Linked DNA regions of Diceros bicornis minor. The main gene of each other region encodes a partner of the protein of the gene in region 3 in a complex. Links are inferred from orthologs where the notes say so. Each region holds a gene or a part of one and is shown on either strand. Other genes may lie near its edges.

Region 1 (7,262 bases), on a different chromosome or scaffold from region 3:
GGATCTCGTTCTGAACACACATCTATATGCACAGAAACTGTCTGGGAGAATATAAATAAACAATGGCTACCTTCAGAGAGTGAGATAGGGAATTTTTTCTTGTCACTTCATAGAATTTTATACAATTTACATTTCCCTCTAAAAAAAGGTTTTGTTACCTTTTGTATTAAATTTTCCTTTTTTTTTTTTTTAAAGAAAAAACATGTTCCCACATGCTCACCTGCCTCCTGCCTCAGCAATCCCAAAGTATCGAGGATTCGACAAGCTTCCAGTGAGCATTGGATCATAGCTTCTTTTTTCTTTCCTGAGTGAATGGCCTCAGCCACCAGTTGTTTTCCAGTTGAATCATCCACAGGTAATCTGCATCAGTTTGAAGGGAATTATAGCACAGCACTAAGCTCCAATTTTCATGAAAAAAACTAATACGCTGTGATAATAGTCATGTTTTTTGAGATGGCTTTTTAATCTCTCAGTTCATTTTGTTTTATCTTGCCAAGGTTGGATGTCAAATCTTTTCCTTCTCTCTTACTCATCCCACCCCACCCCCCATTAATATGTGTTACTAAACTATCAAGGCCCAAATTCAGGAATAGCCTAAAATTAAGACTAAAGTTACTCTCTGGGTTATTGTCTATAATCGTAAATTACAGCTGTAATGGACATTTATGAGAAAAGAACATACCTTACTCTACAGAGCCAAGTGCTATGTCCCTGTTCATCAAATTCATATTCTAATTCTTCTCCTGTGGGAGGAAGAAAGACAAAACAATTTTAACAGCATGTGACAATTACTAGTTGATACAAGGAGAAAACAGAGCAAAGGTTAAATAAGAATATCAAGTTCCCATATCACATTGACTACTTCTCATTCCTAGGGATTATCATCCAATAATAAAATTAGGATGAGCTTGAGGCAAAGAAGAGCAAACTCAGATCAAAACAATCAACTCTTCATTCATAGCTTTGACCACTGTACAGTAGCTTTCACACTTTTTATAAGTTGTAGACTTAAGCTGTTAATTCATCACAGTTGCCTGGTTTTTAGAAGTACATGTGTTAAGTGCAGAACACAACCAGTTCATATATATATTCATACACACACACACACACACACACACACACATATTCTCTCAAAGCATCTCTACTGAAACAATTGTCTGTGGAAACAATCTTTAATCATATAAAATGAAAATTCAAGGTAAGAATTACAAAAGATCAGGTGAATTAGAAACAAAAAATTACAAGAAGTTGGGCCAATCTCCCCACCACCCAAGTCTAGGATTTTTCGAGAAGAATGAGACAAGCCAGGAAAAAGTACTTCCTTTTTTCCAAAATGAGAAGAAAGACTAACAAGATTTTTACTATTTTCAAAATAAACCTGATGCAACTGACCACAAGGATAAGAACTAAACAAGGAGGAGAGCAGATAAAATATAGCATTTCTAAGTACCTGAAGATCTAGAAAACAACACTGCTGTGGATACATTTTGCTGGCAGCGTCAGAATCTATTTACATACCTTCTCGGTCAAAAAACCCTTGGAGAGCCTTTTTTGGATCCTTTATATAAAAGGCCTCCCTTTCCTGCTGAAACTCTAAGACAATGGGGTTCTCTTCAGCCTCATCCTCTACAGCATCCTCTCCTACAGGAGATGGGAAAGAAAGAAAAGACAATCAGACATAAGAGACTATTTCAATGACATCCATTATTCTTTCAGACTGCATAAAGATACAGTTATCAGTCATGAAAAGAAAGGGATGGACCTGCAAAGGATAACCACAAAACCACCAGTAAGAGTATCTTCAGGTTTTCTAAATTGTATGACAATTAAAACTTGTTTTCATGGCACCTTATTTTTTTTTTTTCCATCACTACATTTTAAAAGCAAAATTACCTACCACATTGTGTACAGAAAAAATCTAAGCTCCTCAGCCTGGCATCCTTGTTCTCTTACACCCGGGTCTAATACTTGGTCTCCAATAGAATTTCCTAATGCATATCGTAACTACCAAATAGACTGGTATACTCATTATTCCCTTAAAATCATCAATCCCTGCCCTGAATACCACTCCCAATGCTCAACTTCCCAAGGGATACTCTTCTTATCCTTCAAGTCCCAGCACAAAACCCTTCTGTTTATAAACTTATAAACTTTCCTAAAGATCTAAGTCAGTGCTGCCCAACAAAAATATAATGAAAGCCATATGTGTAATCTTATATTTTGTAGTAGCCACATTAAAAAAGTAAGAGAAACAGGTGAAATTACCAAGTAATCAATATAAAAATATTATGAACATTTCACATTCTTTTTTCACACTAAGTCTTTGAAATCCAGTGTGTATTTTACATTTACAGCACATGTCAGTTTGGACTAGCCATACTGTAAGTGCCCAATAAGCACATGTGGCTAGTGACTACCATATTGGACAGCGAGGTCTAAGTCCTCAGTGATGGCTCCCTTCTCTGAACTTTTACTCCAGCATATTTATGGTTTCTAGCTTTTGTCTGGCACTTACCACAAGTAATTTCATTTATCCTGTCTTCCCAACAACATATTAAGGCTATCTTCTATCTTTTTATATTCCTACCTCCTAAACACCCATCTTCCAAAATGTCTGGTGTTGTGGAAAATTCAATTTATTCGTTTGGCTAAGGGACCAGCTTTCCCTGATTAGATATTTCACATTTCAGGGTATTTACACAAAGTACAAAAGATTCGAGGTAATATCCTATATTGAAAACATTCCATTTTATTTGATTGAATGTAGTTCCATCCCCTCCAGTGATAATCAAGGTCAGTACTTATATATTTTTTTAAATGGTAAAAAAAATAAATTGTATGCTGAAGAACAGTTTTGAACAAGACTGTACTGTAAAACACATTAGAAGAAATCCATAGTGCTCATAGTTCAATTTCTTGACATCAGAAAAGTAAGGAATCTCTCTGAGTTTTGATAACTTCATGTGCAAACAGTATTTGTCCTACCTATCTCATAGAGTCATGAACAGCCGTATGATTAAAAAAAAAAAAAAGATACTGCTAGCAATGAATTTAAAATATTAACCTCTGGCAGCAATTGTAATTTCTTACCCATTCCCCAGGTGCAGCCCACTTCATCATCTTGACCACTAGTATTTTTCTTCCTTTCAGTGGTATCCATTTCCTCCTCTTCATCTGAGTCTTCTCCTAGCATCTTCTTCTCCAACATCATTTGCTGCTGCTTGCGCAGTTCCTTCAATTGGGTGACTGTCAACTCGGATTCTGCCTCTCGGTCTTCCTCTGGTCCCTGATGAAACAAGCGAAAGAATTCTTTTAGAGTTCAGGATTGTTGAAGTCACTTTCAGAAATATGGCAATGTATACAGAGATCTGGACATGAAAGGCCAGATTCCACTTTTGTAATCACTAACTGGGAGAATCTTCTTCCTCATTGAAAGCTTAAAGAGCTCAGGAACCCAGCCCGGTGGGCTCCAGAAATTTCAATTCTAGGTTTTTCTACTTACCTGAAGAAGAAAGAGCCGGGTGCTGCCTCCAAAGCGAAGAACATGCCCGACGTGGATCCGACAATAGGTGCGGGGTGGGACGCGGGTTTTGTTAAGAAAAGTGCCGTGGGTGCTTCCCAGATCGTAGAGGTAGAAGCCGGGCCCGTGGCCGTCGCATTCTCCCTCCGGGCCGGGCGCCCGGTGCTGCAGCACGGCGTGATAGCGAGACACCGAGGGGTGCTCCAGGCATACGTCGCAGCTAGGCAGCCTCCCGAAAAGGCAGCAGCTCGTCCCTTTCAAGCTCCGGGTGCCAAGGATGGTGCCGCCCTTCAGGGTCTCTAGGCTGTAGGGGGCTGTGGCAGGGCCGCCCCACGGCGGCTCTCGGTAAGGCGGGGCCCGGCCCGGGCCACCAGGGGAAGGAGCCGCTGCGAGGGGCCGCGGCTGCTCCTCTGGGGGACTCCGAGCCTCCCCGCTGTCCGGCGGGACATCAGGCTTCTCGGAATCGGGGTCCAGCAGCGCCGTGGGCCTTTCCTTCTTCACCTCGTCAGGGTTTGAAGGATTGCGGTCCGCGGCCTTGTCCCGCACCGCCGGGGGCACCGGCAGAGCTGGCTTCTTGAAGTCTCTACTGAGTTCTTGCGAGGCCAGCGGCTCGCACTGAGTGGGACTATCAGCCATCCTCAATCGGGTGCAGTCTCGAAATCTGTTCCTAGGAAACGTCACCCTTCGGTCTCTACGTTCCTCTCCGCGCCTCCCTCTCCCCAGCTCCCAGAGGCTTCTCTGGCCAGCGATGGTGGAGTTGCTCCTTCACGACCCAGAACGCTGTGAAGAGGTGAGTATCACGGGAAGATCATAACAAGAGAAAAACAGAAAAAGGCGGTCGGGGTGCTGTCAGAATGGGGACATCTTTAGAGGTTGCAACCGGATTGTAATAACTTCCTGTGGCTTAGCTTGATTGAGAAGAAACGCTTCCGGCAGGCTTGGACCGCTAATCAACAAACCAGCCTTCCGGGCCTTTCGCGACCCTCGCCTCAGGCCTCTGGGGCCGTACGGCCGCCCAGCCCGGCTCCTGCGCCGCGGCAGTGAATAGTGGCGCCTCCGTGCCTCGGTCCAGGGTCAGACCTGCCGTCTGCCGGCCGCTCCGAGCATCAGGCGACCCCAGGATCCTGTGATTGGCGCCTGCGCCCGCTGACCGTGACCGAGGAGCCCCCCGAGGGACTTGGGCATTGCTTGGGCTTGGTGCCTCCCCTTCGTGCTCCTTTGGGTGAAGTTAGGGAAGAGGGCGGTTTTTTTTTTCTTTCTGTCATTTTGTTCATTCATTTATTCGTTCATTTTTATATGCTTTCCGAAACCAGTTAATGAGGCAACGTAGTGTAGTTGTTAAGACTGCAGACTCTGGAGACTGACTGTCTTGATTTTCCCTCTCAGCTGTTTCTGACATTAGGCAAGACAGTGGGCCTCACCTTCCACATCTGAAAAATGGGATAATAATTTTGTCTACTTATAGGGTAGTTGGGAGAATTGAATTAAACAGTAAAGGCAAAGGCTGGCACATAGTGGGCACTAATTAAATGCCAGATAATTACTGTGTTGCAGACACTGTACTAAGATTGTGGTCGTGAGGGATAGATGAGAGAATAAAATTGATTGCGATGAATACTAGTTAAGTCTAGGGATAAATGCTGTGACAGAGATATGCAAAGTGCTGTGAGAATATAATGAAGGAGGATGTACTGGGTAGGTGATGGAAGGTGGTGACTTAAGCTATACTTAAGAATGAAGACAAGTCTGCCAGGGATGTGGTGGGTGGCAGGGCATTGCTGACAGAGATCACAGCTTAAAGAGTCAACTGTGGAAATGCATGGCATTCTTAAAATGAGTAGTATGATACCGTTAGAACTAGGGTGGTCATTGTCTCCAGGAATCTCTTCCTTTGTGCTTCCACTGCACCAGGTCTGCACCTCTAGAACAGCACTAAGCCCACACTTTCATATTGAAGCGTTCTGTTTATGTTTTTCTCCCTCACCCCAGGTCGGAGATCTTGGCCTTAGTCTTTGTCTCCTCACATAATACCTGGCATTTGATAAATGTTTGTTGAATTTGAAGAGACATATGGGCAATGAATCTGGAAAGGTGAGTTGAAGCCAGTTTGTAAATTTTGTTGAATGGAGAGCCAAAGAATTTTGACTGACTTTTTCCTGTAGACAATGGGAAGCCATTAGATCTGAGTTAAAAATATTAAGTCTAGCAGCACTATGGAGGATAGATTAGATATAAGGCGAGACTAAAATAAGGAATACCAGTTAAGAGGCAGCAGAAATCTCCCAGATTCTTCCCTATATATGTCAGAAGTTGCACGCATAGGACCATTTAGACTGGTGGTTAATAGCTTTTTTCACCAGATCAGTTAAAAGGTTCCCATGCCTGATACACATAGTATAAGAACCACCTCTGTCTATCTTTAACTCTACTCCCCTTTCTCCCACTGATCTGGGACAGATATGTCAAAATACTCTTGAGAAATATTCCAGGTCTCATTTAAGTATCTTGTCTTGAAAATTGTTCAGGATTGGGCATGATGGTAGTTCTAGTAATGAGTTAGGGGGGTGAGATGGAAAACATGGACACTACAGCCCCAGATACTATTGCAGCTGTTAGTCTACTAGTGACCCAAATTCCACCTTGTGGTTCAGTCTAATATGAATTGTCATTGTGTGTGATTGTGATGACTAGCTTCTAGCAGTTATATTTCTCTTAATTTCTTCAGGGAGAACATCTTCGGTCCTACAGTGTTGGTGACACTGACATTTTTCTGAGTGGTCCTGAACAACCTACTTTTTATGTAAATAACGGGCTAGACTTCATATTTTTCACTACAGAAGTTTATAACCTACAGTTGCCAGAGATTTAAAGACACTAGTTTAGGATATCATCTACATTTAACTTGGAAGCTCTTCCTTTCTTATTCCAAAATGTTGAGATACTGGGGAGAGATACCAATCTCATCAAGCCAGGCCAACAGAAGTTCCTTTGATTTGCTCCCACGGGAGTTCCGTCTGGTGGAAGTCCATGACCCTCCTCTGCACCAACCCTCAGCCAACAAGCCCAAGCCCCCCACTATGTTGGACATCCCCTCAGAGCCATGCAGCCTCACCATCCATACCATTCAGCTTATCCAGCACAACCGACGTCTGCGCAACCTCATTGCCACAGCTCAGGCCCAGAATCAGCAACAGACAGAAGGTGTAAAGACTGAAGAGAGTGAACCTCTTCCCTCCTGCCCTGGGTCACCTCCTCTTCCTGATGACCTCCTTCCTTTAGACTGTAAGAATCCCAATGCACCATTCCAGATCCGGCACAGTGACCCAGAGAGTGACTTTTATCGGTAAGGCAAGGCTTTGCTGTGTCTTACTTTTTTCAAATAATCTTCCCAGCAACCCTGTTAAGCATGTAATAACATTTCCATGAAGAAACTGAGGATAAGGGTAATTGACTTGGCCACAGTTGCTCAGGTAATTAGTGGGAAGTCTAAGACTTGAACCCTGATCTTCCAAATCCAAAGTCTATATTTTTTTATTTTCTGATGCAACAGATATTTATTGAGTGCCTGCTATGTGCCAAGCACTTTGCTAGGAGCAAGGTACTACACTGGTATGTAAAATAGGCCATGGCCTCATAGTCCTCAGGGTCTAGTCTTTCTGTTTAATTTAAAATGTATATTATGGGTTTGGCTCAGAGTCCTCAAACTGAGATTCATGGACTCATTCTCGTACTATTAGGAATC
Region 2 (7,250 bases), on a different chromosome or scaffold from region 3:
ACACCTCAGTTCAGACCAGCCACATTCAGTGGCCGTAAATAGCCACACACTGATAGACAGTGCAGGTCAGTTTACTGCAACCACTTCCAAACTGAACTTGCTATCTCTAGTCTTGCTTCCCGCTGATCTTTTCCTCCAATTCAGCCTGAGACATATAAACACATAAGTCTGCTTATCCCCTTCCTCAGATTAAAATGGTCCAACCGCTTCCTATTACCTTAGGGATAGAGTCAAAAGTCTTGAACAGGATTGATTTTTGTCAGGATCCAACCCTGGCTAAGCTTTCTGGTCTCATCTCTTCTTCCTCCTCATGCTGATGCTCCTGCCATAAAGAGTTTTGTTCTATTTCTTAAATATGCTCTCACCTCTCTCACTTCTGGTCCTTTGCACATCCCCTCCCCTCCCCCTGCCACCTGTCCCAAGGTTTCCCTCTAGCACAGTAAACATTGTTACTGTCTGGGCTCCATCACTCCTTTTGCCAACACATGCACACACCCACACCCACACCCACACCACACCCACACACACCCCTCAGGAAACTTTCCTGTAGTCAATTGCTACTTTTGACATTCCTCTTTCCAGAGTGAGGTGGGAAAGAGACAAACACAAATAAAGGGCTTTTCCCCAAACTAACTCTTGTCTGTGGCCCCCTGACCCCTTTCACTTTGAGCTGCTATTACATACACACACACATACACACCCTTAGAGTTTTCACAGTTTTTACAGATCTATCAGTTTCAGTATCATCTCTAGGGTTGGGTATGACGGGGAAGCCAGCCACCAGTGTGAATTTAAACTTAAGAACTAAACAAGATGGCAAACTCACACTTGTGGCTGGCTCCCCTGTCACGCCCAACCCTAGAGATGGCATTGTAATTTATAGATCTGTATAAACTGTGAAAACCTGAGGATACGTGTGTTTGCATGTATGCGTGTGTGTTGGCAAACAGGGAGTGACGCAGCCCAGACAGTGACACCACAGTCTTTCCTCCTTTTGGCGCATCCTTTGCCTTTTCCCAGTGCTGGGCTTCAGCCTCTCCCTCTGGGTATACATATCAGCCAAGGTAGCTGATACCTCCAGGAAAATACAAATGCATGGAGAAAAGTAATGAGATGCAGAAGGAGGTGCAACTCCCATTAAAGCAAAAAATGGAACAACCTAGACTAGATGAAACAGATTAAATGCATCAGATGGAAAGATAATTTAAAAAAAATAACACATATCCTCGAAGAGAAAAGAGTTCATATTGGTTACATCAGGGTTTCTCAACCTTGGCACTATCAACATTTTGGGCCAGATAATTTGTTGTGGCAGGGGTGGGGCTGTCCTGTGCATTGTGGGAAGGTTAGCAGCAGCCCTGGCTTCTACTTGCTAGATGCCAGTAGGACCACCCCGAGTTGTGACAACCAAAAGTGTCTCCAGACGTTGCCACATGTCCTCAGGGGAGACAAAAATCACTCAACTGGGTTACATGAAGCAGCAACAATAAATCATGAAGAACCAATTCAAAATACTATGGAAAATATAATGGTTGAAGTAAATAACTCAATAAATGGGTTACGGAGCAATATGGATCTAGGCCAAGAATGAATTACTGCACTGAAAAATCAGGTAGAGGAACGCTTTTAGAAGGTATCAGGAAGAGGTGAACATAAAAATATGAAAGTTAACAGACCTAGAGGAGAGACGTATAAGTATCAATATCTACATCACAAGAATACAAGAAGGGGAAAAATAGAGGGGAGAAAATATTTGTAGATCTAATGCTTGCTAAATTTCCAGAATTAAAAAAAATATCCCAGGGGCCGGCCCTGTGGCTTAGCAGTTAAGTGCGCGCGCTCCGCTACTGTCGGCCCAGGTTCGGATCCCGGGTGCGCACCGATGCACCGCTTCTCCGGCCATGCTGAGGCTGCGTCCCACATACACCAACTAGAAGGATGTGCAACTATGACATACAACTATCTACTGGGGCTTTGCAGAAAAAAAAAAAAGGAGGAGGATTGGCAATAGATGTTAGCTCAGAGCCAGTCTTCCTCAGCAAAAAGAGGAGGATTAGCATGGATGTTAGCTCAGGGCTGATCTTCCTCACGAAAAAAAAAAAAAATATCCCAGACTGAATGGGTGCATAAAGGGCCAATCGGAATAGACAGGAAAAAGGTAATCCTAGATACAGTAGAGTGAAATGAAAGAACATCCAAGACAAAGAAAAACATCCAGAGAGAAAGAGCAGCTGTTCTATAAGGGAATAAGATATAGATTGACACTAGACTTCTTAAAGCATCCCAGGAAGAGAGTAGGCGGAGAATGGGAGTAGGGATCAGAAAGGAAGCGGAAAAGAGAAACAAAAATTAAAAATGGGACTTGCGGGCATTCAATAAACATCTCTACTGTGGTGTAACACAAAGCCACTCTACTTGGAGTAGGCAACCTTGGCTGAAGTCTCAACCCAGACTCTTTGGAACTTAAGAGACAAAGTCAGGTAAAAAGCAGACGCCACAGATGGAAAGGAGGTGGCTGTACTTCTGTGAGTCCTAGTGTCTGGGCTTCAGCTGTACAGGTGGATCCAGTTCCCAGGACTTGATTCACGAGACTAATGTATGCATCAGAAAGTTAATTTCCTAGTCATAATGGGGTAAAACATCTTTTCAGTGAATAGTAAACACACCTGGGCTTGTTATTCACGGCATCTCTCATCTATCTAAATGTTCAATTAATTATTAAGTTAATTAGTGAATACTGAATCAGAAAAAGTGAGTTGAATGATCCCGAAGAAAAGGATGAATTCTCCCCACCTCATAAGAGTGTACCATCAGATTCAGGTTTTCTCTCTCTGGGCCAGTGCTGAGTGAACGCTAACCAATTCTTGCTCATCTTCTCTCCCCCACCTCCAACCCCATGTTTCATATTCTTACTTTAGATAGCCAATTAAATTAGTTTTATATTTCAGTCTTGAGATCACCCTGAACATTATGATTGGACTTTCTTAACAAACATTTACAGAACACCTTTTAGGGGCTGGCCCAGTGGTGCAGCTGTTAAGTGCTTGCGCTCTGCTGCAGCGGCCTGGGTTCGCCAGCTCGGATCCCCGGTGGGCTCAGACGCACCGCTTGTCAAGCCATGCTGTAGCGGTGTCCCATGTAAAGTAGAGGAAGATGGGCACGGATGTTAGCAAAAAAAAAAAAAAAAAACACCTTTTAAGGTGAAGTAAAAATAACCAATAGCTATTTATTATCTTAGGTATCACACACGCTTTACCTCATTTAATCCTCACAACAACTCTATAAGGTAGGTACTATTATTATCATCCCTATTTTAGAAATTGAGCAACTGGAGTAGAGTGAGTTAAGTAACTTGTTCCCGGTCATTCAAGGAAGCCAGTAAGACCTCAAAACAACAACCTGAATAACTGTGCCAGATCTTCCCGATGTCCCAGGCTCACTTTTCTTGTCTGTACCTATCCCACAGAGTTGTGAGGTTCAAATGAGATAAAATACACAGCAGTGAAGCATGCATATGAATGAAGCTTATTGCAAAACGGTATATACTATTTAAAAATATACAACTAAAATGCAGTTTATTTGTAATAATGGATAATATAGCATGAATACAGAATGTACATATTTCACAATCACAAAATTCAGGTACTTAAAAACTTTTTATTGAAATATATATGCTATAACGTTCACAAAGCTTAAGCGTGCACTCGATTTTTACAAAAAGAAAAACTGCAAAAATAAAATAAAAATAAACACCATCTAGATCAAAATATAAAACATTACCATTATCTCAGAAGCCTCCCTCTGACAAATGATATATGCTTTTGAGTTAAAGACCTGGATTCGAATCCTGACACTTTGCACTTCCTTCTTGTGTGACTTTGGCAAGTTATTTAACCTCTTTGGATCTCCGCCGAACAATCTGTAAAGTGAGGATAACAGTACCTTATAAGATTGTTGAATTAAAGGTGGTCATATAATGTAGAACGTCTATCACAGTGCCTGAATATAGCTGGTCTGTAATAAATGGTAATTATTATCAGGCAAACGTAATAGGCGGCTGCCTACTCTCACTTCCTGCCTTTCTGTCACTCACTTTCGAAAGCTGCCCTGGCTCCCATTTCTCTTCTCCTTCTTTCTCGCCCCTCCTACTGCCGTAAATTGCCTTCCAGAACTGTCGTAAAATGCTCCTCCCCACCCTCCATGTGGCGAAAACGCAATCACGCTTGACGGCGCGAGGTGGCTCAGCCGCAAGATGGCGGCGCTGGCGGAGGAGCAGACGGAGGTGGCGGTCAAGTTAGAGTCTGAGGGACCGCCGACGCTGCTACCTCCGCAGGCGGGGGACGGCGCTGGTGAGGGTGGCGGCGGCACTACCAACAACGGCCCCAGCGGCTGCGGCGGGAACGTTGCGGCGTCGTCCTCGGCCGGCGGGGATGGCGGGACCCCCAAACCCTCGGTGGCTGTCTCCGCCGTTGCCCCGGCGGGGGCGGCCCCGGTGCCCGCCGCTGCTCCGGAGGCCGGCGCTCCCCACGACCGACAGACTCTGCTGGCCGTGCTGCAGTTCCTACGGCAGAGCAACCTTCGCGAGGCCGAAGAGGCGCTGCGCCGTGAGGCCCGGCTGCTGGAGGAGGCAGTGGCGGGCTCCGGAGCCCCGGGAGAGGCGGACGGCGCCAGCGCTGAGGCGGCTAGCGCGCTTCTCAGCCGGGTCACAGCCTCGGTCCCCGGCCCTGCGGCCCCCGACCCTCCGGGCACCGGCACTTCGGGGGCTGCCGCCGTCTCGGGCTCAGCCACAGGTCCCGCGGCTCCGGGGAAAGGTGAGCCGCGGGGTCTCGGGGAGGCAGGGCCGGCAAGAAGGGGAGCAAGCCGGGAAGGCAGGGGATGGCAGGCCTGCACCTCTGCGGGCTTGTTTTGAATTTCCTGGGCCCGCCTCTAGGGCCACATGCCCGCCCCTTTCTCTAGTGCGCCGGCTGCGCAAACCGTCTTCCGAGCTGTCAATTCCAGCGAGAGGCTGAGGAGAGCTGTTGAGCAGAGGGATGTATGGGGAAGGTGGGCGCGGAGAGGCGGGGACTTTCATGCTCTCGGTCCCTTTCCTCTTATTTGGGCTGTGGAGCTTTTAGCAGCTCTACCTTGACACTAGCAATATTTGTACAGTTCTGTACTAGCATACTTTAAGTACTATAAATACTTGAAGTTGTGTATCTTAATTCTTACAGTTCAAACTGTGACGTAGACGTTACCTCTATTCTAGAGATGAGAAAAAAGACTGAGAAAGGCCAAGAGACTTGCTCTGGATCACACAGCCAGGGAGTGATGGAACTTGGTGTAGCCAGTATTTCTCAAAATATAGGCTAAGGACCACCAGTGTTAAATCTTTTGGGGAATGCGGATTCCTGGGCATCACTTCAGACTAAGTGAATCAAACCCTGTGGAAGTGGAGACTAGGAATCTGCATTTTTAATAAATGTTTCCAGGGGGTATTGATGTATGACAAAGTTTGAGAACCGTTCGTTTAGGAATAGTGGTTGGGGGCCGGTCGGCTCCGTGGCGTAGTGGTTAGGTGCGCGAGCTCCGCTGCTGGCAGCCTGGGGTCGGATCCCGGGCGCGCACCGACACACCGCTTGTTAGGCCATGCTGTGGGGGCATCCCATATAACGTAGAGGAAGATGGGCATGGATGTTAGCCCAGGGCCAGTTTTCCTCAGCAAAAAAGAGGAGGATTGGCAGATGTTAGCTCAGGGCTGGTCTTCCTCAAAGGAATAGGGGTTGGGGAGACCTGGGTTCAGATTCTGTTTCTGTTGCTTTTTCTTGTGTGATGCTGATTAAGTTATTCTTCCTAAGCTTGAGCTTTTCCCCCCTCTATTAAATGGGTTATTGTGAGGCTTGGATATAATATATGTACAATGCCTAGCACTGATAAGTTTATGACTAGGTGTCCATCCCTGACATCTGAGGGCCCCCCCGCCCCTTTTCCCAGCAACTGTTGTCTCCAAGTCCATGTAGGAGTAAAACTCCTACACAATGTAAGGTCTTAAAGGTGATCCTGAGTTGATAATAAACATTTATTGAATTAAATTATCTAGTGCAGAGCCTCTGGGCAAATTAATCTGTATTTATGAAACCTAATTTTTGCAGCATTGCCAGAGTGAAGTATAATTAGATAGCACTGTAACTCATTAAAAGAAATGTGTGAAAATATGATTGAGAGGAATCTTTTCTGAATGCTAAATTTTGCACATGAACTATAAGATGGATGAATTATGTTGTTGGTTATTTTACTGTAATCTCTCATATCTTCAGAAACTTGACCTATTTTTTTAGATCATAACTCAGAAACCAGTAAGGAGGAAAAGAAGCCATAAAAGTGATTAACAGATTTTATAATATTTGTGCAGTAAAGAGCATAACATAACAGTTGCAACTTAAAAATTGCCAACAATCAAACTGATTTGATTGACAGATGTATCATTGTTTGGGATTGCTATATTACAAATAAATACTCATGTTTTCTGCCTTGAAATGGTGGTTATGGAAATTGTTTTAAGCCTATAAAATTGAATTATCTTTTGGAAATATAAATAAGGCAAGGTCCTTCCTGCTCTTAAAATGCTTACGTTTTATGAAGAGTAATAGATGTACACATGTGAAGGTAACATATGATGGGATGTATTACAGGAAAGATACAAAGTACTTACGTAGCTCAGAGAGCTGGGACTATTACTCCAGGGCATGAGTTGGTGGTGGTGGGTGCCGTTTGCACTGAGCCTTGAGAGAAGATTAATATAGTTTTTTGATTTGCACATACCTTGTTTTATAAAATTTGTCTTTAATATAAGGTAGCTCCAGGAAAAATAGTGGATCTTTTTGTTATTGATTTGAAAATTTTATTTTACGATATGGACAAGCTGAAGGAGTTTTGGATGGGTGACGGAAACAAAGTGAAAATCCCATTTAAAGATCACGTGGTTGTGTTGGGGAAGAGAGCTTGAGAGGAGTGGGAGAAACATTTGAGAAACAATTCATCTCTGGACCTTAGTAAAATAGCCCCAGTTACTTGGTACATAACATGTCATTTTCTTGAAAGTTGTTTTCATTTTTTAAACAGTTGGAAGTGTAGCTGTGGAAGACCAGCCGGATGTCAGTGCCGTGCTGTCAGCCTACAACCAACAAGGAGACCCCACAATGTATGAAGAATACTATAGTGGACTGAAACACTTCATTGAATGTTCCTTGGACTGCCATCGGGCAGAGTTATCC
Region 3 (6,862 bases):
CAAAACATAAACCAGATAACACAAAATAATCCAAAATATGGAATATCTGGAGTAGGGGATGACACAATCCAGGTTAGTGAGGGGAAAAAATCCCTGATCTTAAATTAGAAAAGGAGGGAAATGACATCTCAGATAACTAAATTCTCCGTCCTCTCCTTAACCTTCCAGTGGGTTCAATAATGCCACAGGAGATCCTTCACAAACGGCCCTGCTCTGAGAAGTCATACCTTGTGTCAAGCAATCTTTGCTCCAGGGTAGCTTCTCCTCTGGGTTTTGTCCTATCAACCCACTGACCCTATTTTCTGAACTCCAAATTGGGAACTACTGTTTCTCTGGCAGCAAGACAGAATACATGAGCTGTAACTGTCCTGACAACTCCAGGACAGAGGCTCATGGCACCCTCTAGACAACAGCCATCTCTGGGTGCTGCACTCATCACCCCCACCCTGACCTTTTCCTTCCCTACCTGACTTCCACCTCTGGCTTGTTGTGTCGTTCTACGACCTGGGAGGAGAAATTCTCCAGGCAGAGGGCAGCCTGCAGCGTGGCCCGCACGGCACTCAGGTAGGGGCGGAGAGTGGCAGTCTGTAGGAAAAACCCCAAGGGAGGATCAGCATCTGTCTCACCAAAGCCACTGGCCCCCTACTCCAGCTCACATAGGAGCCAGGCAGTATGGAGGGTGCCCAGCTCTCAGACAACACAGTGAACAGAACAGACTAGGCCTTCAAAGTGTCTTTCATTCAAAGTCTAGAGCAGTGATTCTCAAGGGGACGATTTTGTCTGCCAGCGGACATTTGGCAACATCGAGACATTTTTCACTGTCATGACTTAGGGGGAGAGGTGCTACTGGCATGGAGTAGAGTCCAGGCATACCACTAAACATCCCTCAACACACAACAAAGAATTATTCAGCTCCAAATAGTGCTGAAGTTGAGAAACTCTGGTCTAGAGGCATACAGGTGAATGACTATCCTCCATCAGTCTTTTGAGCCAACAAATGGCTAAGTCCACTGTATGCCAGGCACTGAGCTAGGTGCCGGAAATTCAAAGATGATTAAGACCATCTCTACCCTTAAACAGCTCAAGTAGGAGGAGACAGAGAAAATAACTATGATATAAAGAAGGATGACATGTGAAATAATTAGATTTACAAGTTATATCTGCAGAAGAAATTGGTTTTGATTTGAAGATAGAAATAGGATTAGGTGAATTTTACAATGAGAAGCAGCAGAATAAGGCCATTCCCAGTAGAGAGATCAGCTTCTAGCTACACTGGCCTATCTTCAGTTCCTTTAATCAGCCAAGTTCTTTCTCACCTGAGGGCTTTAAGCATGCTGAACCATCAATCTGCAGGCTTTTCTCCCCTCTCTTTGCCTAAGTCATCCTTCAGATCTTGGCTTATTCAGGAAAGGCCTCTTCCTTCCCCAAAGAGGCCTTTCTTAACTTCCCTCTTCATAGCATTTATTATAATTTATAATGACACACCCTTCATACATCTTTAGTAAAGTGATTTCTCCTTCACTCCTAGACTGTAAGCCTCATGGTCAACAGACCATGTCTATTTTATTCAAATCTACATATGCTGCACCTAGCTCAGTCACTACCTAACATATAATGTCTTACCCAGTTTCTGCAGAATGAACGAATGAACGAAAGAACTTAAGGTTAGAATTACATAAAAGGGCATTAAGAGTTCCAGAAGCAGTAATGAGTACACTGTTGCTGTATATGGGAAGCATTTTAGATTCAACAGATAAGGCTGCAATGGCAGCCTGAAGATTCATGGGGAATCTCAAATGCCAGGCTACTGAGTGTAGCTTTTCTTTTAAGATGGTAAGGAACTGCTGGGGCTTTTTGAAGAGGAAGTTACACGACTAGAGCTACATGGTGACTCTGTGGAGAATGGACTGGAGAGGGAAGTGAGACATAAGGCAGAGAGGGCTATTTAAGGAGCGCTGATGAGAGCCTGGACAGGGGCAGTGGAAAGGACAAACAGAGGGGATCACAGGGGTTGTCCAGCATAATGGAATCCAAAAACAACTCCCAACAAACTATGGTCCATCCATACAATGAAATACTACTCAGTGATAAAAAGGAATAACTACTGATACACACAACATGCATGGATTGCAAATGCACTATGGTAAGAAGCCACACTAAAAAGTCTACATACTGAAGAATTCCATTTATATGACAATCTGGAAAAAACAAAACTATAGGGGGAAAAAAATCAGTGGTTGCTTGAGGGGCAGGGAGGACTGATTACAAAGGGATTTGAAACTTTTTGAGGTGATGGAAATATTCTTGATCTTGATGGTAACAGTGGTTACATGACTGTATTTGTCAAAATTCACAGAAGGTAAACCTGAAAAGGGTGAATTTTAGGTGGGCAGCCCAGTGACCCCCGCCCTTTCACAAATAAAACAGACACAGTCTCATGTAATACCTCAACAAACTTGATCTTTAAAAAATCAAGAGGCATGGCCTCAATTGGAAAAAAAGAATATCCCAGGTTTCTAGCTGGGTTAAGAGGACACAAAGCCAGAATAAGGGACATAGCAGGAAGAGCGATTAGGAGAAAAGGTGACTTTTGACCTGGAGGTCTCATTTCAGGCTGTCTTCAAGATATCCAGGCAAACCTTGAAAGAGACCTAGGAAAGCAGACTCAGGAGTCACCAGAATACACAAGGTCATTAAAGTCGGAAAACTAGTTAGCTATCAATAGGGAGACTGTAAAGAAGACGAAGGTGTTGAGCCAAAGTCTCAACTCCCAGGAACACTGACATTTATCAAACAGCAGGATTTCCAGGAAGGGAGGGATCAGCAGTATCAGAGCTTACATGCTACAGTAAGGCTGACACGATTGAGTTCTGACCAGGAAGGGGACGGGGTGGAGGCGGCATAAAAGAAATCTTTCAGCAAGGTACAAGCAAGGCTGGGGGCAACAAGAAGAGTAGGATAATTAAATGCGGACGCTTCCCTTGGGAAACTGCGGGGTCAAGTGGGCAGGAGACGACAGGGCAGTGTATCTAGTGCAGTTCTACTCTGGGTGGAGAGGCGGCTCTACTACGTGCCTCAGCAGCCCTACTACGGGCTACGAGACCTACTACACGCCTTCGAGGCGCTACCACAAGCCTAAGGAGCTCCGCTTCCGGTTTCCTCCATGCCTCAGGAGTACTCCCGACTCGCTTCGAAAGCCAGACCACGAAGCCGCAAAGCCTGGTGCTTACGAGGGCGTCCCCCGCTCGCCCCTTCCTCACTTCGGCCCCCGCCCCACCCTCTTTCTCCCAGCCTCATCGTGGCCCCACATCCCCAAGCATCCCTCGGCCCCGGGCCTCTCCGCTGCAAAGCTGCATCTCCCCCAGACCCAGACTCCTGAGGAAGAACAGCGAGGGTCCCTGGCCCGGGGTCCGGCTCTCTCACCATCGCGGGCGCTGGCTGGGCCGGAAAGCGGAAGTGCGGAAGTGGCCAGCCCCGCGACGCCTGCCGTTTCGCGAGAAGCGCAGCCGCAGTCTCCTCCCGGACTTCCGGACGGTACCATCTGTGCTCCGAGCGGGGGAAAAAGAGCCTAGGAACACTTGGTCCCTCGGAAGTTTTCCCGCCAGGACTGTCTTGGTAGTTTTAGACTCCTGAAGTTTCACCTTGCTACTCAAGCTCCTCCCGTTATCCATGCAGCTCTCGCTTGTGACTTTGGCCTTCTCGTCGTCTTTGCCGCTTTCTTCCCCCATAGTCATGTAATGGTGCAGCCAGCCTCAGGTTGAGTACCATAATAGGACAAGGCGAAGTGGAGGAGCCCTTCGTTTCTTCCGGTTCTGTGCCCCCGTCCTTCCTGCGAGCCCCGCCTACCTGCAGCTCCCGGGGTTCGGCGGGACTAACTACCGGGTGGAGAACCCGACTGCCGAGCCCCGCCCCCTGCCCCGGGCTGTTCCCTAGGGTACGATCGAGGCATACCGCCCCACCCCCCTACATTGCGCTCGTTCCCGGCCCGCCAACCCCCACCCCCGCAAGCCACAGTGAGCTCGCCTTCGAGTCTCCCCGCCCCCGCGTCAACTGCGAGGGGCCGGCACACAGCCAGTTCCGGGGCGGTTGCTCCGACAGACCGGAACTCCCCGCCGCCTCCCGCGGCCTGGGGGACCGTAGTAGGCTGCAGTGAGGAGGTAGAGGGGGAGGGGGCCGCGTTAGGGGGTCCCTAGAGGACGAGGACATTGAAGGCGAGACATTGGGGCCACCCACGGGGTGGTGCCAGCCAGTAAGCAGTCCCACTTTTTCTGTACCAGGCACTGAACTGGGCTCTTGACGGGCATCATCTCTTAATCCTCAGAACATCCCGGGGAGGTAGGTACTATTGTTATCCCCATTTTACAGATTCAGACTTATGGGGAAACAGACTTCAGGCTTCTTTTGTCCTCATTTTACAAATGGGAAAACCGAGACTCAGGAAGGTTAAATAACATGGTCAGGACTACATAAATAACGAATAGTAAAGCCTGGGCTGCAATCCGGATATGTCTGGCTTACCAGCCCACATTCTTAACCGCTGTCAGGGGCAAAGGTGGGGAGGGGTGAGACAAGGAGAGGCTGAGAGGCACAGAGAACATTATCGTTATAAGAATGAGATGCTTCCAACTCAGGGACTTAGCACAACCCAGGAGTGGAACAGAAGAGAAGAACATCAGAAAGACAGGGCATAGTATATGGTGGTGGTTAGGGGCATGGACTCAAAACTACTTGGATTCAAATTGCATCTTGGTAAGGTTGGGCATGTACCCACCCTTACAGAGTCTCCGTTGCCTTGTCTGTAAAATGGAGATCACCATGGTCCCTGCTTATGGGGTTGGATGAGGAATTTAATGAGAAGCTGGTAAAATGTCTGCACCTAGCTTGGCACACAGTAGATGCTCTGTGAGTAGCTGTGCCATCAACCTCGGCAATAGGGTACTGAAGCCTGGCTTTCTCCTTGAGGCTGTCCCTGGATAGAAGGAGCCCTTGGGCTTTTCTCGTGCCACTTTATCTCCCATCAATGGTCTTTTCCTCTCCAGCTCCACAGGGTCCCATATCCTGGGCCATGAGTGAGCTGAAGGACTGCCCCTTGCAGTTCCATGACTTCAAGTCTGTGGACCACCTGAAGGTGTGTCCCCGCTACACGGCAGTGCTGGCCCGCTCTGAGGATGATGGCATCGGCATCGAGGAGCTGGATACTCTGCAGCTGGAGCTTGAGACCCTGCTTTCCTCTGCCAGTCGGCGCCTGCGGGTGCTCGAGGCCGAAACCCAGGTGATACCCCCAGAGGGGGCGTCACCAGGGATGAACTGTGACAAGTTATGGGTTGGGTCCTTGAGTTAACCCCATCTGCTGAAGCCTGGGTTACAGAAGCTTAGCAGAGGAGAGAGAGACCGAAAATAGGCTTGTGTAACATGTAAAATATGCAAGAATATGCGTGATCCTCGTAAATTACAGGATTTCTAATTCAGTAGGCATTTATTGACCCCCACCCCCCATTATGTTCTGGGTCTTGTGCTAGTCTAGAGAGAGGTAATTAGGACAATTCTGGCCTTCAGGGAGTTTGCCAACTAAAGGGAAGGGGAGTCAGACAAGTACCAGGTGATGTGCTGTTACGTTTACGAGTCCTGGGGGACCTGGAACGGAGAGACCTGGATTTGAATCCTGTCCTGAGCACCTGCTAGTGTTGCTGTTTCCTAGCTTTGTGACTTTGAGAAAGTTACCTCCTGGCGCTGAGTATCAGTTCTCTATCTGCAAAGTGGGCTGAATAATAGGACCTACCTCAGAGCTTTTTGTGAGGATTAAAAGAGAGGGTTTTTTTGCAAAGCTGAGCCCAATGTCTGACACTAAGTAAGCATTTCAAATGTTATTTATTGGTATTACTATGATTATTTCTGTTCATAGCATAAACATCTTCTGAGCTCTGTGTGTCAGGTGCTCTGCCAGACCCTGGGGAACAGAGATGGTTCAGATGAACTTCTTGGTCTCTAGTAGCTTATAATCTAGTTGAAGAGACAAGGTTCTCTGTTCATTCCAGTGAGACCAAACAACACGATTGGGCCTACAATAGAGGTATGAAGTACCACAGACTCATAGAGGAAGAAGATGCCATTTCAACTGGGCCTCAGAAGATGAATAAAATTAACTTGTGGTCCTTGGGAATCCACTGAAGCTTTTTGAGCAGGTCTGTGGCACAGTCAGTTGTATTTTAGCATCTAGGAAGCTGGGTAACTGATGCAGAGAAGACTTCTCAGTTGTGACATTTGAAGTGAAGGTTTGCTGGGAGGCTTATTTGCCTTCACCAAAAAGTTATGACCAGCATATTTTCCCAGGGCTAACATGCACTGGGGTGTGATCATTCATTTGACTTTTCTGCTAAACACTATGTGACTGGCTTGGGTGCTACAGAGCTGAATCAGTATAGACAAACAATGAATGGAATGATGAGAAGTATATGAATAAAGTCCTGTGAGATGCACACAGAAAAGGAGCTGAGTTTTAAAGGATGAGTGGGAATTTGCTAAATAAAAAGGGGATAGGGGAAGGCTATGGGGCCTCTTGGAGTTGTAGATCCTGAGTTTTCACTGGAAGAAGGAGTTGTCCTGTGTCTTCCCTTCTCTCCCTCAGTGACAGTCTCTGTGAATTTCAGATCCTCACTGATTGGCAGGATAAGAAAGGTGACCGACGATTCTTGAAGCTGGGTCGAGACCATGAACTTGGAGCTCCCCCCAAACATGGGAAGCCCAAGAAGCAGAAACTGGAAGGGAAGGCAGGACATGGGCCAGGCCCTGGCCCCGGACGGCCCAAATCCAAAAACCTTCAGCCCAAGATCCAGGAATATGAATTCACTGATGACCCAATCGA
Region 4 (7,104 bases), on a different chromosome or scaffold from region 3:
GGTGGACAACATCACATTATAATTTTGGGTGGCTTCCTGGACAGGGTAACAATCCTTGACTGTGTAAATGCCAATCCAGGTTCCATAGAGGCTAACTGATGGACCACTCCTGAATGGCGACGTGCCCCTGAGGCCCCCTGTGGAGTACTGGTCTTCAAGGGGTTCTGAAGAATGTCAAGAGGATCCTGCAGGCCGATCGGGGTGATCTTTGAGCATAGCTTGGTGGCTTGTTCAACGTGAAACATCACTCCATCCTTACAGAGGAAAATCTATTCAAATAATCTCTTGCTGGGGAAGACCAGCAGCTTGCAGGTTGAGGGAGTGGTGAGAGAGCAGGTCGTGGCTGTGGAGCCCCCTACTCTGCGGGGGCCTGGCACTCTGCTGCCCACTGCCCTGACCCCCACGCCACCCCAAGCATGAGCCTGAGCCCAAGGGGTTGCTGCGCGGCTACAATCCCATTTCTGTTTGAAAAATTATTTTAGTTGTTGAAAAAAAGGCAAAGGGGCTAATGGGATGTGTCCCAAACTCTCCACAGTGGTTATATCCTTTTTTGTGTGTGTGAGGAAGATCAGCCCTGAGCTAACATCCATCCCAATCCTCCTCTTTTTGCTGAGGAAGACCGGCCCTGGGCTGACGTCTGTGCCCATCTTCCTCTACTTTGTATGGGACGCCGCCACAGCATGGCCTGACAAGCTGTGTGTCGGTGCGTGCCTGGGATCTGAACCTGCGAACACCAGGCCACCGACACCGAGCGCGTGCGCTTAACCGCTACGCCACAGGGGCCGGCCCCTGTGATTATATCCTTGACCGAGGTTATGCAGAACTTTTCCTTTCTGCATTATAGATTCTAGATCTCTGCAATGTTTGGCTTCTCACGGTGTATATTTATTTTAGAAAGAGGAAACAAAAGTAATTTTTAAGAGTTAATTTATTTAACCCCCTTCCTCCATTGGGTTCCATGCCTACCATGCCACCTTCTGGCCATGATATGGCTTCTTTTGTATGTGTTGGGGGCAAAACCCATTAAATGTGAATAGTTACGATTTTCCCCACCTACCTGCCATGGGCGGTCAGATCCAAAAGAGAGCTTTTTTGTTTTGCTCAAGTGGGTGATGGCTGGGCACGAACAGGGACTAGCTGAGGGAGGGGTAGCTGGCTTTACACGGAAGATGCCTGAAGCCCTCATGCAAAAGGCCAATTATGTGGGGGAAGGAAGCAACGAGGAGGGAGAGATGTGAGCATTGTCCTCAGCAGTGGAATTCTGTGAAGGGAGGGACTTGTAAAGGGACTGTTAGGAAGGCATGATATGTAACTCCCTCCTCGTGTCCTCAAGAGACCTTCAGTAAAGATCCCCGTGACTTTTCAAGGCTCTTTGGAAAGGATTTCAGATGTGATGTTCTGAAGCAATGAGACTCAGTATAGACCAGGAAAGCCTAGATTTCTTTGCCATGCTGTGGCTGTCTCACAGGAAGGGACTGTGCTGCCCAGGCAAAGGGAGTGTTCTAGTCAGTTCCACCATTCTAAATCTCCCTATATGGTTCATGGGGCTCCTGGTTTATACCTCTGTCTCTTGTGAGTTGTGTCAGTGTGAATCTATCCTGAGAGGTTGCTGACAAAATGGAATTTCTGGTCCTGCAGAGCTGAGGACCAAAATCAGTAACAGTCACCCCCACCAAGATGCTGCCCCCTCAATGACTCTCCCTGAGCAGAGATGATAACTTCATTTTCTCTTTCATCTAATAAATATTTATATTTAAAAATTATATTTATATTTATATTATGCGCCAGGTACAAGGCTAAGTGCTAAAGATACAGTGATGAGCATAAACAGATATGAGCCCAGGCTTCATGGAGTCTATAATCTAAGGGGTAAGAGATAGGCCAAATTAGGTTACAAACAAATATAAAATTGTGACATTTGTTTTACCATCACAATTATGTAAGGTCTACACTTGGTTTGAGAGATTATATCAGAGGGATGTGACCCAGTCAGGGAGATCTGAAGATGAGTAAGAGATATGAAGGGAAAGAGGGGAGGGAAATGTGCTCCAGGCAGCCTTTGCAGAGGCCTGTGGGAGAAGGGACACGGCAGGTCTGAGAGACCTGAAGAAGCCTGGGGAAGCTGAAGTGGAGAGGGAGGTAGAGTGGGTTGGGAAAGGAGGCCGTGGGGCAGGAGGCCGGGGGTGCCAGGACACGAACACACTTGCATTCATTCTGGCCAGAATGGATCAGGGGAGGCAGCTTAAGGAGCTATTGCTCACTGCCACTAGTGGATAGACATCCCAAAAAATCTTCACACAGGCCACAAGGGGACATGTATGAGTTCGTTCACTGTAGCATTGTTTGTGGTAGCCAGCAGTTGGAGGCAATTTAGAGGCCCTTCACCGTGGGTCCAAATAACTAAAATATGGGTGCCCGCTATCAAATATTGCACAGTTATTCTAAGTAACAGGCTAGGGGTACACACAACAAGGACAGGTCTTCAAAGCATGGTGCTGAGTGGAAAACGTAAGAAAGAGAACAAGGTTTATAGTACAATACCATTTAGCTGAATTAAAGATAAAGGCACACTAAACAACACAAATGTTTTACAGACACACACACCACTGGGGAAGACGGGAGGAGTGAAGAAAAGAGATAAAAGGCCATCAATATACAAAACAAGAGAGGGGCCATGCAGAGCCCAATGATGACAGTGTGCCATAAAGTGAGAAATGAGTGATTCAACCTCCGCATCTGGGATTGAAAAAAATAAAAAGCTTCTTAGTTATTTAGGCAAGAACGGAAGTACCTTGGACTAGGGTAGGTGCGGTGGAGATGAAAAGTGGATGGACTCTGTCATATGAATGAATACATGTAAAGCATTTCAACAGTGCCTGATACATGGTAAGTGCTCAACACATGAGCTGTTATTGTGTTTATACTGCAGACACTTAGTGATGGATTGAATACAGAGTGGGGAGGGAAAAGGTGCTGTCGAGGATAACTCCCAGGTGCTGGCTCGGGCCCTTGTTGCAGAGAGGGAGGTGAGAAAATGAAATCTGAGGACAGGTGATTCTTTTGAGAAATGTGGATGTGAAGGGGAAGACAGAGCTATCCCTTACATATAGACAACCCTCTAAAACACTTTTAAAAAATTAATCAAGTAATACATGTTTATTGTAGAAAGATCAGAAATTAAAGAAAATTCAAAAAAACAATTGTGAGCCCCAAATTTCTCTGGTGGGGCAACTAAGGTTGATATTTGACATTCAGGAGAAATAGCTCCTGAGACTTACAAATGTAAAATTTGTGAAATCCCTGCTATACGCCTCATAAAATGCAAGAGATAAAGCTGAGACTGGGTAGGTGGTCATGCCATTGAGATAGACACCACAGAAAGAAGCAAGCTTGATGGAAGTAAATGATGTGTTAAGTTCTGGGCTGAAACAGTTTGTGTTGAAGTCTGAGATTCTTCTAATGAATAGAAAAATATTAAGGGCTTATTGTGTGCCAGACACTGAGTTACAAACTGGGAATACACAGGTGAAGGAAACAGATGATCCTGACCTCACTGAGCTGGCAAGTGTATCAATAATCAAACAAATAAATACATAACCATAAACTTTGGTAGGGGGTATGGTATGTAAGAAATTATAAGATGCTGGGATGTAAACCATTGTAGCTAAGTATTTGCTCACATCCTTAATATGTTCCTGGGAAGATTCCCTAAAAGCACGATTTCTGGGTCTACAGATCTGCTAGTTTTTATTTATTTAAAAATTTTAAAAATAGACTTTATTTTTTGGAGCAGTTTCAGGTTCACAGCAAAACCGAGGCAGAAAGTAGAGCTCTCATATACCCACTGCTCCCCCCTCAATCAACAATCTACTCGTTTTTTAGGTTTTTAAAAAATTATTACTATTTTATAGCGGCTTCGGGGAATAGGAGAGGATACTGAAAACGCACAAGAACCCTGGTTTGTTAAAACAAGGTTCAGCTGAAATGGTCGACAACAGCGTGTCAAAGGAAAGACTACATTTCCCAAGGGGCAGCGCGGTACGTCACAGAAGAAGGACGGCGCATGCGCAGAGTGGTCCTCCACGACGCGACTCAAAGAAAGGAAAAAAACGTATGCGGTTCTCAACGTGCCGCGAATCTTCGAACGCAAGCGCGTTATTATCCGCAGACTTTGAAAAGGATTCGAGGAACGCGCCTGCTTCCGTCGTCGCAGTTTCCAGCGCGACGTTCTTGTTCCACCGTGGCTCGGTAGGCAGGGATGGGTCGCGGTCTGGGAGCCCCCCAGCATGGCGGGAGCAGAGGGCCCAGGCGCCCCCCTGCTTCCCCACCCCCTCGGGCCGCGCTGAGGCGGCTGTGGAGTGGCGATGCGCACGCGCCTTGGGCCAGGAGAGGCGGGGCTCGGGGAGGGAGGGCCCGCGCCCGTCGTTGGGGTCTGCGCGTGCGCTGCCGGCCCTGCGAGGGTAGGAAGCAGCCGCTGGCGGGGCTGGGCGCGGGGGCCGGCGGAGGCGGGGAACCCAGTGCTGGTGCGAGAAGATGAGAGCTGAGGACGGGCCCCGAGCTCTGGCGTGTTTTATTATATGCTCAGGATGTGCCCATTTTAACTAAACAACCTCATTCTCCCTCCAGGTGCCTCCTCATCTCTTTGCGCCGGTTTGCAGCCAAAGCTTCAGTCTGTACTTACTAGCACCGTTTCTCCTCCGAGTCTCTTCTGAACCCACTCCAGTCAGGCCTTGGCCCCCGCATGCCGCTGAAATAGCTCTTTGTCAAAGTCACCAATGATCTTTAGGTCGCCAAAATCAGTGTTTAGTTCTCAGTCCCGTAGCAGTGTCTGATGCGGCTGATCACTGCCCCTTCTTGAAACATGTTCTTCATTGGGCTTGCGGAACATTCTCGTCTTGAGCTTCAGCTCTCTCTGGCCTCTCCTCTGCTGATTCTTGCTCCTCCTCCTTATCTTTAATGATTGTGCTGCCCCAAGACCTCATCCTGGATCTCTTCTCTGTGTTCAATTCCTAGGAGTTACCATTTCAAGGCTTTAAATATTAATACCACGTATTGTGCTAACTCGCAAATTTCCATCTTCAACCAGTGCCCGACCTTGAACTCCAGATTCTTATATTCAGCTCTTGCATGACGTCGCCTCTTAATGTCTAATCAGCATCTCAAACATGTCCAAAACTGAAATTTGGAGTTTTACCCTCCACACGCCTTCATCCTCCCCAGTCTTCCCATGCTTCCAGTTGCTTAGGCCAGACACCTGAGTTATCCTTGGTGTCTTTCGCTTCTCCCGTCTCCTCCTCCTCCATCCGTCTATTAGCACATATTTATCCTTGAGGCGTTGAAGTTTCATTGCTGGGTGTCTTATTGTAGGTATTCTCTTTGGCACTTGGTGGATCCTTTCTGCCTGAGAATTTGTGTTTTCAGTTTTTTGGCGTTCTCTGTCATTATTTATTCAGATTTATCTATTCTGTCCTCTATGGGTGTTCTGTCCTCTGTGTCCCTTTTAGAGTGTTTATTTCACCTACAAATAAGTGTTTGGAACTATTTGTTTAATATCTGCATTCATTTCTAGACTGGAGCGAGACAAGGACTGTTTGTCTCATTCACTGCTGTATATCCCTCATGTCTGGCACAGAGTAGGTAGGTGATAAATGTTATTCAATGAGTGAATTTCTTTTTGCTGAGGAAGAGTAGCCCTGAGCTAACATCTGTTTCCAATCTTCCTCATTTTTTTGCTTGAGGAATCTTAGCCCTGAGCTAACATCTGTGCCAATCTTTCTCTACTTTATATGTGGGTTGCTGCCACAGCGTGGCTGGCGAGTGGTGTAGGTCCGTGCCAGGTTCGGAACCCATGAACCTGGGCCGCTGAAGTGGAATGCGATGAACTTAACCGCTATGCCACAGGGCCGGCCCCATTGAATGAGTGAATTTATAAGGAGGAAGTACCTCTTCTCTATAGGTGGGAAGTAGACAATCCTTCTTAGAGTATGTTGATAGCAGCTAATTTTTTCTCTGCGGTTGGGGAGGAGAAGATATTGAATAGCCCAGATTCAGAATTGTTGCAGTGTTTCTAAGACGAAAGACTGTTTGAAGAGGTTTCCAGGATTCAGTTCAGTTCAGCAATCTATTTTGAGGACTTAGTAGGGGCCAGGACCTGTGTTAGTTGCTGAGAATATAAAATGCATAAAATTGCATCCCTGTCTTCCGAGAGCTCGTGGTCTGACAGGAGAGACAAGTAAATGAAACAGTGTCTCAGTGTATGTGTGACAAGTACAAGAATGGAATTTTGTTTATGGTGCTTCGGAAGTTTTGATTGACCTTGGCATCAGGGCAGGTGAGAGGAGCCTGGGGCAGCCAGATCCCCCTGCCAGGTTTTTCTGCCTGTGAGCAGCTTTGCCCTTTTACCCCAGCGTGCTATACAAATATTATCACGTTCTCTGTGTGCTGTGGTGTGAGAAAGGTTGGCAAGTACTGCTGTAAAAGTGTTAATTTTGCTGCCATTTAATTTGGACCCTGAATAATGAGTAAATTTGAGAGACCCAGGGGGAGGAGGGAAAAGGATCAAAGGGCATTTCAGGCAAGCATAACAGAAGCATGAAAGTCTGTGTTGGGGGCACTGGAGTTGTTCAGTGTGGTTATTGGAGGGTAGGGTTCAGTAGGAGAGGGCCGTTTGAGAGGTGCTGTCCAGGATCTGAAGCAATGCCTTGAAAGTGTTTTATAAATACCTGACCCAACCATGAAGCACCCTCTTCTCAGTGGGTAGGTCCATTAGAGTCCATAGTTTTAGCAACCAACTTTGTGGAGCTGGAAGTAGGGACATGCAGTAAGTCACAGGCCTTTTTTTATGATGTCTAAATTTGAATATAGAGATTCTTATAAAAGTTTTAAAAATGAATCTCATGTAGACTTTGGATGAATCATTTGTATTGAAAAAATACCCAATTTATGTCACTTCAGGATTTGTGGTCACTATGTCTGTGGTGTGGAGGGTAGTTTGGTGGACCCTGAACCAATGGTAGTTGAATGTTGATGATACTAAGGGCTGTTTGAGCCCTTAAGGCTTAGGTTGTGCAGTCAGACGTATCTGGATTTGAATCCCTCCTCTGC

Evidence for each region.
Region 1: TADA3 (region 3) and SUPT7L share a complex: the UniProt entries of both Homo sapiens proteins name them as parts of the STAGA transcription coactivator-HAT complex. The link is inferred for Diceros bicornis minor from reciprocal best matches to the Homo sapiens genes TADA3 and SUPT7L.
Region 2: TADA3 (region 3) and TAF5 share a complex: the UniProt entries of both Homo sapiens proteins name them as parts of the TFTC-HAT complex. The link is inferred for Diceros bicornis minor from reciprocal best matches to the Homo sapiens genes TADA3 and TAF5.
Region 4: TADA3 (region 3) and SGF29 share a complex: the UniProt entries of both Homo sapiens proteins name them as parts of the ADA2A-containing complex. The link is inferred for Diceros bicornis minor from reciprocal best matches to the Homo sapiens genes TADA3 and SGF29.

What each region holds. Positions count from the first base shown.
Region 1 is NC_080751.1:55,263,256-55,270,517, forward strand, and holds the start of SUPT7L (STAGA complex 65 subunit gamma), read left to right. Parts: upstream 1-4,251; 5' UTR 4,252-4,310; intron 4,311-4,459; exon of another isoform or gene 4,460-4,742; intron 4,743-4,752; exon of another isoform or gene 4,753-5,509; 5' UTR 5,510-5,611; intron 5,612-6,245; 5' UTR 6,246-6,450; coding exon 6,451-6,863; intron 6,864-7,262. Other genes in the region: SLC4A1AP (kanadaptin), read right to left, coding at 221-360, 683-743, 1,519-1,641, 3,091-3,286, 3,503-4,156.
Region 2 is NC_080745.1:68,226,141-68,233,390, forward strand, and holds the start of TAF5 (transcription initiation factor TFIID subunit 5), read left to right. Parts: upstream 1-4,244; 5' UTR 4,245-4,252; coding exon 4,253-4,811; intron 4,812-7,098; coding exon 7,099-7,250. UniProt on the Homo sapiens protein: The TFIID basal transcription factor complex plays a major role in the initiation of RNA polymerase II (Pol II)-dependent transcription.
Region 3 is NC_080741.1:82,755,647-82,762,508, reverse strand, and holds the start of TADA3 (transcriptional adapter 3), read left to right. Parts: upstream 1-3,847; 5' UTR 3,848-3,934; intron 3,935-4,011; exon of another isoform or gene 4,012-4,157; intron 4,158-4,277; 5' UTR 4,278-4,335; intron 4,336-5,039; 5' UTR 5,040-5,065; coding exon 5,066-5,272; intron 5,273-6,647; coding exon 6,648-6,862. Other genes in the region: ARPC4 (actin-related protein 2/3 complex subunit 4), read right to left, coding at 467-585, 3,424-3,426. UniProt on the Homo sapiens protein: Functions as a component of the PCAF complex. The PCAF complex is capable of efficiently acetylating histones in a nucleosomal context. The PCAF complex could be considered as the human version of the yeast SAGA complex.
Region 4 is NC_080765.1:22,000,239-22,007,342, reverse strand, and holds the start of SGF29 (SAGA-associated factor 29), read left to right. Parts: upstream 1-4,099; 5' UTR 4,100-4,113; coding exon 4,114-4,248; intron 4,249-7,104. UniProt on the Homo sapiens protein: Chromatin reader component of some histone acetyltransferase (HAT) SAGA-type complexes like the TFTC-HAT, ATAC or STAGA complexes.